Linked DNA regions of Kluyveromyces lactis. The protein of the gene in region 2 interacts with the protein of the main gene of each other region in a pairwise test. Links are inferred from orthologs where the notes say so. Each region holds a gene or a part of one and is shown on either strand. Other genes may lie near its edges. The genes, in order: PAP1 and NAB6.

Region 1 (3,789 bases), on a different chromosome or scaffold from region 2:
TGATTCTTCCATATCTGGATTTTCGTTTATATATATGCATATACTTCCAATTGAATTATTGTTGGATAAGATTTACAGGAAATTGAACATACAATTTGCAAATTCAAGCTCGCTCATTCTTATGATTGGGGTCTTTCACGTAATTATTGATTTTTCCTGGGTCTTGAAATCGATTTTGAATTTTTCTGGCTTTAAAAATTTAGTACAAAATGAAATAATATAACAAAGTGTGAACTTTTGAACTTACTATACCTTTTATTTGGTTTGAGTGTGTGAACAGGAGAAGCTAAAGTTAAAACCAACACTACATATCCCTTTGGTCCAAACTTGCCAGTACCTTCAAATTGAACTTCTTAATTCTTTCATTCGCTGGACACTCCTGAGACAGAATTGGTAAAGGAAAGAAATAAAGGGAAACGGAATTCTCAGACAATACAATATTAACTGGCTGATTTTTTTGTCTACACACATATACACACAGTCTCTCTCTATCTGAATATAACTGGATAGTTTGTGCTAGTTACGTTTTTAGTTCAAATTAGTGACGAGCACATCTTTTGATATTGGTCACCTGTTACCAACAACAACAACAACAAAAGAAGTTAGTGTCAGACTCACAAATACTGAAAAAAGCCTTTGCATTGGAACTTTGGTGTATTAACTCTCGGAGATTATACACATCCGACACTTATTTGATTATCCTCATCACGAATTAACTTGTGAGGAGTACTTTTGACGGTTCTTTCTGATCTAGGAAGACGTAGCAAGTCAAAACTCATTCAGGTTGTCGACTTCAGTACAAGACGCACAGGTTTTCAAGGACACTTACGATAATTCAAGGACGGTGATTGGCGACCAGTTGAATTCAATAAGCTCGGATCTTGCAGGGCTCAAGGTTTCCGGTTGTGATATCACTTCTGAGGTAGTACTAGGTGCAGTAGGGCTAATAGAAGAAGAAGAGGAAGGGGGAAAAAGTTCAGAATCTGATAGTGTAGGATCATCTCCCTCCAGACAAAGAAACCGGCATTTAAATCTCAATACAAGCCGAAACACATATCAGCATCATTTGCAACATCACCACCATTATAATCAAAGACAGCAGCATCAGCAACAATATTTCAATCAGCCAGGGCTACATTACGTTTATTATTCACCGGCTAACTCACCAACATCGTCTCCAATCTCAAAGAAGTTTCAGAACTACATTCCAAGAAGACAATCCGCGGACAGCCTTTTAAATACCGGGGGAAGTGATTATCTGGATAGAGCAAGGAATAGAAATATACCAGATTACAGAAACAAATATTATCCCAATACAATGTCCCAGAAAAAGATCTTTGGTGTAACGGGCCCGATTTCCACGGAGGGTCCCACTGCTGCCGAAAACGCATTAAACGATTCATTAATTCAACAGCTTAAGAAAGAAGGCTCTTTCGAAACGGAGGAAGAAACTGGGAAGAGAGTGGCAGTATTAGAAATCTTCCAAAAATTGACACAAGAGTTTGTATATCAGGTTTCAAAGAAGAAAAACATGTCCGATGGTATGGCTCGTGATGCTGGTGGTAAAGTATTTACCTTTGGTTCTTATAGATTAGGGGTCCATGGTCCAGGTTCCGATATTGATACGTTGATTGTGGTACCTAAACATGTATCCAGAGAAGATTTCTTTACCGTATTCGATGCTCTGTTGAGGGAAAGACCAGAACTTGAAGAAATTGCGTCAGTTCCAGATGCTTTCGTCCCAATTATCAAGATCAAATTCAATGGAATCTCCATCGATTTAATCTTTGCTAAACTAGATTTACCCCAGGTTCCAATAAGTTTAACTTTAAGTGATAAGAATTTGTTAAGGAACGTTGATGAAAAGGATCTAAGAGCGTTGAACGGTACCAGAGTCACCGATGAAATTTTAGAATTAGTGCCTAATAAAACATCTTTCAAGATTGCATTAAGAGCTATTAAGATATGGGCAAAGAGAAGAGCAGTATATGCAAACGTCTTTGGGTTCCCCGGTGGTGTCGCATGGGCGATGTTTGTGGTAAGAATCTGCCAATTGTACCCTAATGCATGCAGTGCGGTAATAATATCAAAATTCTTTCAGATTTTATCACGTTGGAAATGGCCACAACCTGTCCTATTGAAGCCAATCGAAGATGGTCCTTTACAGGTCCGCGTGTGGAACCCCAAAATATATGCACAGGATAGATCCCACAAGATGCCTGTGATTACACCAGCGTACCCTTCAATGTGTGCTACCCACAACATCAGTGAGTCAACTAAGAAAGTGATCTTATCTGAATTACAAAGAGGTGTAGAGGTCACACAAAAGATTTTCTCTAATGAACTATCATGGGAAGATTTGTTCAAGAAACACGATTTCTTCTTCAAGTATAAATTCTACCTAACGGTTATGGTCTCAACAAAGGGTTCCGACGAACAACACTTGAAATGGAGTGGATTCGTTGAAAGTAAGCTCAGATTGTTGGTCCAAAAACTAGAAGTTTTACCAGGAATCAATCTGGCGCATCCATTTATTGAACCATACGAGTCCAGCTATATATACAATAATGAGGATGAATATAAAGAGATCATGAACAACTACGGTACACATAAGACAGAAGGTGTATTGAAAAAGTTTACAAAAATAACTGATGCAAACAAAGACGATGAAGCCTCCAAAAACTCTAATCAAGTTCACATAGCCACGATGTTTATTGGACTTGACATCAACACAGAAGAGAGTAAAAAAATTGATATACACATTCCATGTCAAGAATTTTTCAATTTGTGTCGCTCATTACCCGACTATGAGGACCCTGAAACGTATTCTTTAATCATCAAGTATGTGAAAGTGCATGACTTACCGGATGAAGTCTACCAAGAGGGGGAAACACGTCCTGTGAAATCCAGCAAGAAGAGGAAACCGGAGAAAAGTGGTGAAAAGAGTAAAAGACCTAAATCCGATCCGTCCAATGGCAAGTCTACTACTACTACCAGTGGCAACACCAATTCTTCTTCCCCAGTAAATGACGCTAATTCCACTCCATCATCAAATGTCCCAGCAAACAGTAATACCAATGCTATCACCGAAGACCCAATGACTGCGACAACATAGAAAGTCTTACGATCCGTTCATACTACCTCTTCAGGGTTCGCATAATGCATCATGGCCAAGGCAACGTGAGTCTCCCCTCAAGCCTTAGCCCCAGTCATTAACAAAAGTTTCTCTACATTGAACGCGACACATAAACTCAACTTTCCCACTAGATAAACTAAGTAAAAAAAAAAAAACGTCTCATATCACAGAAAAGAACAGATCATTACTATAATAGTGAAGCTGTCCGCCACATACCCCATTGTTTTGCATAAACCTACCATCTCTAATCTGAATATTTTTGTTCTATCATCAAATATGTTTAACTGGTACTTATTTTTAGTCAGCTATGTGCCTTATCTTGATACATAATTGACAGATGCGGACAAAAAGAGTCAAAGGAAAACCACAAGAGATAGAAGGTTAGCCAGTTAGACACTGATAAAATCCGAGAAAACAAGACGTTACCGATACCCGAACAGTATCATCTGGTTCAGCCGCTGTTGATTCAACAGGCAAGTTCCTATTTCAAGTTTAACTTACAAATACACCCATAGTGATGAAAGAAAGCCACACTTTTCAGTAAAAGAAAGAAGCAACGTGACAGAAAGAGATCGAGTAATGGGAGTGAAGGAAAAGAAACAAGAAGTTGAAATTTGAAGGTAACTTAGGTAACAAGTGTCTTGTGAAGGGTT
Region 2 (4,450 bases):
TGCGTTCACAATGATGTCTACATCACTTGAACTCGAACCGGAATAGGTGCTGCAGCTATCGCTACCCACCTGCAGAGTATCCTCTGGTATATCAGCGGTATATGTACCATTTATGAGAGTTTCATTTATAGCCTCGTTGTTCGCAACGTTAGACCCATTTACCCCGCTGTGCCTGTTTCCACACTCTTCTTGTTCTTCTTCTCTATGTTCTTCTCGTTCATCCTCATTGTCACTTAACACATGCCTTCTTTCCGCTTGAGGTGAAATAGATATTCCAAGTCCCTCACTGAAATCTGCATCAACCCCTAACGATAAGAAGTTCTTATTATCCATTGGGCGATCCAACTTGCCATTTGCTATAGAAGCATTCGCAACTGAAGAATGTTTTAAGTCAATGTTTGATGCGTTAGAAAATGTTGCACTCTGCTTACGTTGTCTGTGGCCCCTACTTGTGTTATTGTTTTGTGAGTTACGATTATGATTGCTACCTTTGCCGTTTTTGTTGAAGACCAAATTTCTGTTAATATTACCACATCTGTCCTTGCCGTACCCTATAATCAAACCCACATATCTTCCTTCAGTCTTTTTATGGAATAGATTATCCTTTGTGTCGGAATATTCTTCAACCAATTTTATAGCACTGCTAATGTTCATGAAATTTATCCAACAACAATGACCGTCTGAATGGAAGTTGACCTGTTCCATGGTACCATAGGCACCAAAATCAGATTTCAATTGTGCAATATTTGGAATCTTGTACCTATTTTGGTACTCTTTGAACTGAGGGTCGTTTATGAATTTATCCTTGAAGGCCTTATCAGGTAAGCTGACATAAACATTTCTCGATGCACCAACAGTAACTGCCAGAGCGATATTCTTAGGTAATGGACCAGGATTCTGACCCCAACCAACTTTTAGGACATTCCCATGTAATATGATTGGCTCAAGTGTAGTATTCGCATAAAACTGAACTGCTGCGGCAGTTTCGATGAATGTTACAAAACAAATCCTTTTATGAGATACCCATTTAATATGCTGCAAGATACCACCACGAACAACGTTACAAATGTCCTCTGCTTTAGACCTTGGGTTAATATTTCCGATATAAACAGTTCTGTGTTCCATGCCGGCATTTACCGCTTGTATGCTTTTGGAATATTGATTTTGTATCGTTTGAGTGATCTGGGGTGGCATTAATGGTTCCATAATATAAGGATATTCGTTAAGTAACATCTGTTGAGGAACAGGGTCATGACTAGAGATGGATAGAGGATCAATGTCATCCGAAAGATTACTGGATGAGAAGTTTGTAGTTCCAGATTCATGCATATAGAGAGTCGTTGGCTTGGAGATAGACCACGAGTTTAAATGATGGTCAAATTCGTTTACAATGGGCTCTTTGTACTCAGAGACATCTACAATTAGGGTGGACCAAGTTAGATTACCATCAAATTCTTCATAGATCGGCGTACTGATATCTGTAGATGCTGTGCTGACTTGTTCCGAAAGAGGCAACGACACATTACTAGAACGAGAGCGAGAGCGAGAATCCGTCGAGAACATTTGAGGACTTGCTTCTTGCTTTAACGAAATGGCGCTGCTTCTTCTTCTTCTCATTTCCTTATCTGCCGAATTGGCAGGTGTCACGAATGACACTCTTGATACTGCTTCATCTCCGGTTTCTAACAGTTCTTTAACTTCTAAAGCCATTGTTACCGAGAGAAAATGGAGTAAACAATAATGTAATCCGAAGTTTTTTCTCCTTTCATCAGTAGTAACCACATCTACATCAATAACAACATATTTACCTGAATTCTTCAAAAACGGGAGTGTGTCCCAAATAGTGTCTGAAGTAACGCTATCGTCCGCAAACTCGACATAAAGGCTTCTAGTGGCACCCAAAGAAATAACGTTCATCTTCAAGTTGGCCATCCATTCCTCATCGTCTTGAATCTTAACGAAGTTCATTGCTAACTGGTCAGACTTTACTGCGTTTTTGATTTCAGCATATCTCTGTAATAAATTATTGTAGAAATCTAGGCATGATTCTTTTGTGAAGAAACTTAAAAGATATGACTGTTGTGAACAACTTGACGGAGAAATGGCAATCTGTTTGGTTAAAGCAGGGGCTGATTCCTTATCCTTATCATCCTCTCTCTTGCTATTGTTATTATTATCAGCATTATAATTTTGATTAGGATCATCATCATTATTACTAGTATTAAGGTTTTCAATGTCATCGCCGGTGTCCTCATCTTTGATCAAGTAAATGCTTTCTATTGGGTAATTTTTTGCAACTTTTTGTAAGAACTCGACAATATCTAGCTCAGAATTAACATTTGTAAAAAGCAACGATCTGCTTCTATAAGTATCATTCCCCTTAGGTAGAATGCTATATTGGAATTGGATTTTCAATTCAGAATCGATAGTCTTTCGTATTGATTTGGGACCCGAGCTGCCAGACATGGAACCTGATGTGGAAGCTGAAAAAGATTGAGATCTAGATGCAGATCTAGAGCTGTAACCTCTTTCAACATCATATTCTGCTTCCACTTTGTTATTGTCACGAGAATGTTCTCGTTGTTGCTGGGGTTTGTTATCTTTTCGTCTTGCTCTTCTCAATCTACCAGATGGTGCTGGCCTCAATTTCGGTGCCGGTGGGTAGAATGATTTATAGCTTGAATTACGCAAATTCATTATGTTATTAGATCCTACTGGGACACCATTCGCTCCAGTACCAGCAGACATAGGTCCACCAGTTTGTGGAGTGTTTACAAACGGCGATCCAACTAACAGATGACTCGGCAACAGTGTAATCCCATAAACAGGATCAAATGGAGTCTGAGGAATACTAACTGTTCCAGGAATACTTCCTGGTATAGAACCTGGCATAGAACCACCACGATGTGTGTAATATATATACTGCGGTGGATGGTGATTCGATCCACCATTTCTTCCTGCCACATCGTAGACCTGTTGTTCGTAACCAACAGGCGGTCTCCCATATATCAGAGAAGGCTGATAATGATTAGCCGATGTTCCCGAATTCATTGGGTTTATGTATGCACGGTTTGTTTCTTCTTCAACGTTTCAAATTCTTTAATTCCACAAACATTCAACTCCCCTCAACAATGCTGCCAAAAATAATGCGATGTACTATTATCTTGTTATCCACAATTGTAGAACACCAAATATCCGAATCGTTGGAAATCTTGACTTTAATTCTTCCTCAATCAGAAGTACCCACAACACAAACAAAGGATGTTGATCTCTGTGACTCGAAAAGCACGATTGCTATACAGAAAAAAAAAGGTAAAAAGTGCTTCACTGAACGCTTATTCCTAAAGAGAAACCGAGAAATTTCAGAACGGGATGTGATGATAACAGTAAAACGAGTACTATTGCTACAATTGTCTTTGCTACTTCACTTCACTTGTACTAATAATAAATCACCGGTCCTAAAAAAAGATACCAATTTAAACAAACAGTATTCCGATTAACTGAAATTGGCAGTCAAAGAAGTAACCAAAAAAGCGTAGAAGTGAAATCGCCAGTAATATTGTGGGCAATCAAGCGTGGAATGGTAGAGTTTAAATCCTCTTGCGGCTATTGTTATCTTTATAGGCCTAAATGGCAAATACTCAATTCTTTGGTCTCCATTAAGTCTAACTGTTCTCAAGTTCTATTTTCTGTAATAAAACTAAAAAGGTTTCAAGTGCAAAAACAATTTTTTTTTTTGGTCTCACTGTAAGACAGAAGACACCCTTTAAGAATGTATGGCAATAAATGTGGTGTTTGGGTGTATTAAACATACAAGAGAAGCTGAACCCTGTATGGAGGGTTCAGTTTCTCTACTTGTCCTTTTTTACGTGGGAACTAGTACCAAGTTCATGGCGACTACGACTATGATCTGGTTATCTGGTATGTTTACGAGTCGAAAAGTGTATATGTATTATTATACTTCTTATCCAATGCTATATACAGGATAGTACTTGGTAATGATAGTATGAAGTTTGTCCTGATGTCCTTCGGAAGCCTGGCTACTTTCAATTTCCATTTTGCCAGCGCAGCAAATCGGACACTGATGAATCACCAGCAGAATTAGGGTCTGACGATGATGCAGCGTTATTCCAACGGCGTCTTGGTCCACGGCGATTGGTGCTTGAAATACTATTTGTAACATTAGCACCACCGGTATTGGTATCCGAGTTTAGTGTGCTGTTAGGCATGCCAAGCATCTGATGTTGATGCAATCCCTGTGCAGAGGTTTGCTCTGGAATAGTCGGAGAATGCATGGAATGGAAACTTCCAACATTATCTTGATGATGGCTGTTTTGACGATCTGATGTGCTGGATTGCTTTCCCATTGGAATAGATGAGCTGTTGTGGGAGGGAGGGTGGTGAGTCTGCTGTTGGTGCTGTTGTAATTGAACGACTGATGCATTAGTAG

Evidence for each region.
Region 1: the proteins of NAB6 (region 2) and PAP1 interact in binary tests that used the Saccharomyces cerevisiae proteins (3 or more experiments, as listed by UniProt). The link is inferred for Kluyveromyces lactis from reciprocal best matches to the Saccharomyces cerevisiae genes NAB6 and PAP1.

Annotation. Positions count from the first base shown.
Region 1 is NC_006038.1:1,161,468-1,165,256, reverse strand, and holds PAP1 (polynucleotide adenylyltransferase PAP1), read left to right. Parts: upstream 1-1,318; coding exon 1,319-3,115; downstream 3,116-3,789. UniProt on the Saccharomyces cerevisiae protein: Polymerase component of the cleavage and polyadenylation factor (CPF) complex, which plays a key role in polyadenylation-dependent pre-mRNA 3'-end formation and cooperates with cleavage factors including the CFIA complex and NAB4/CFIB.
Region 2 is NC_006040.1:127,952-132,401, reverse strand, and holds the start of NAB6 (Nab6p), read right to left. Parts: upstream 3,052-4,450; coding exon 1-3,051. Other genes in the region: DNA-binding transcription factor CAT8, read right to left, coding at 4,047-4,450. UniProt on the Saccharomyces cerevisiae protein: RNA-binding protein that associates with mRNAs encoding cell wall proteins.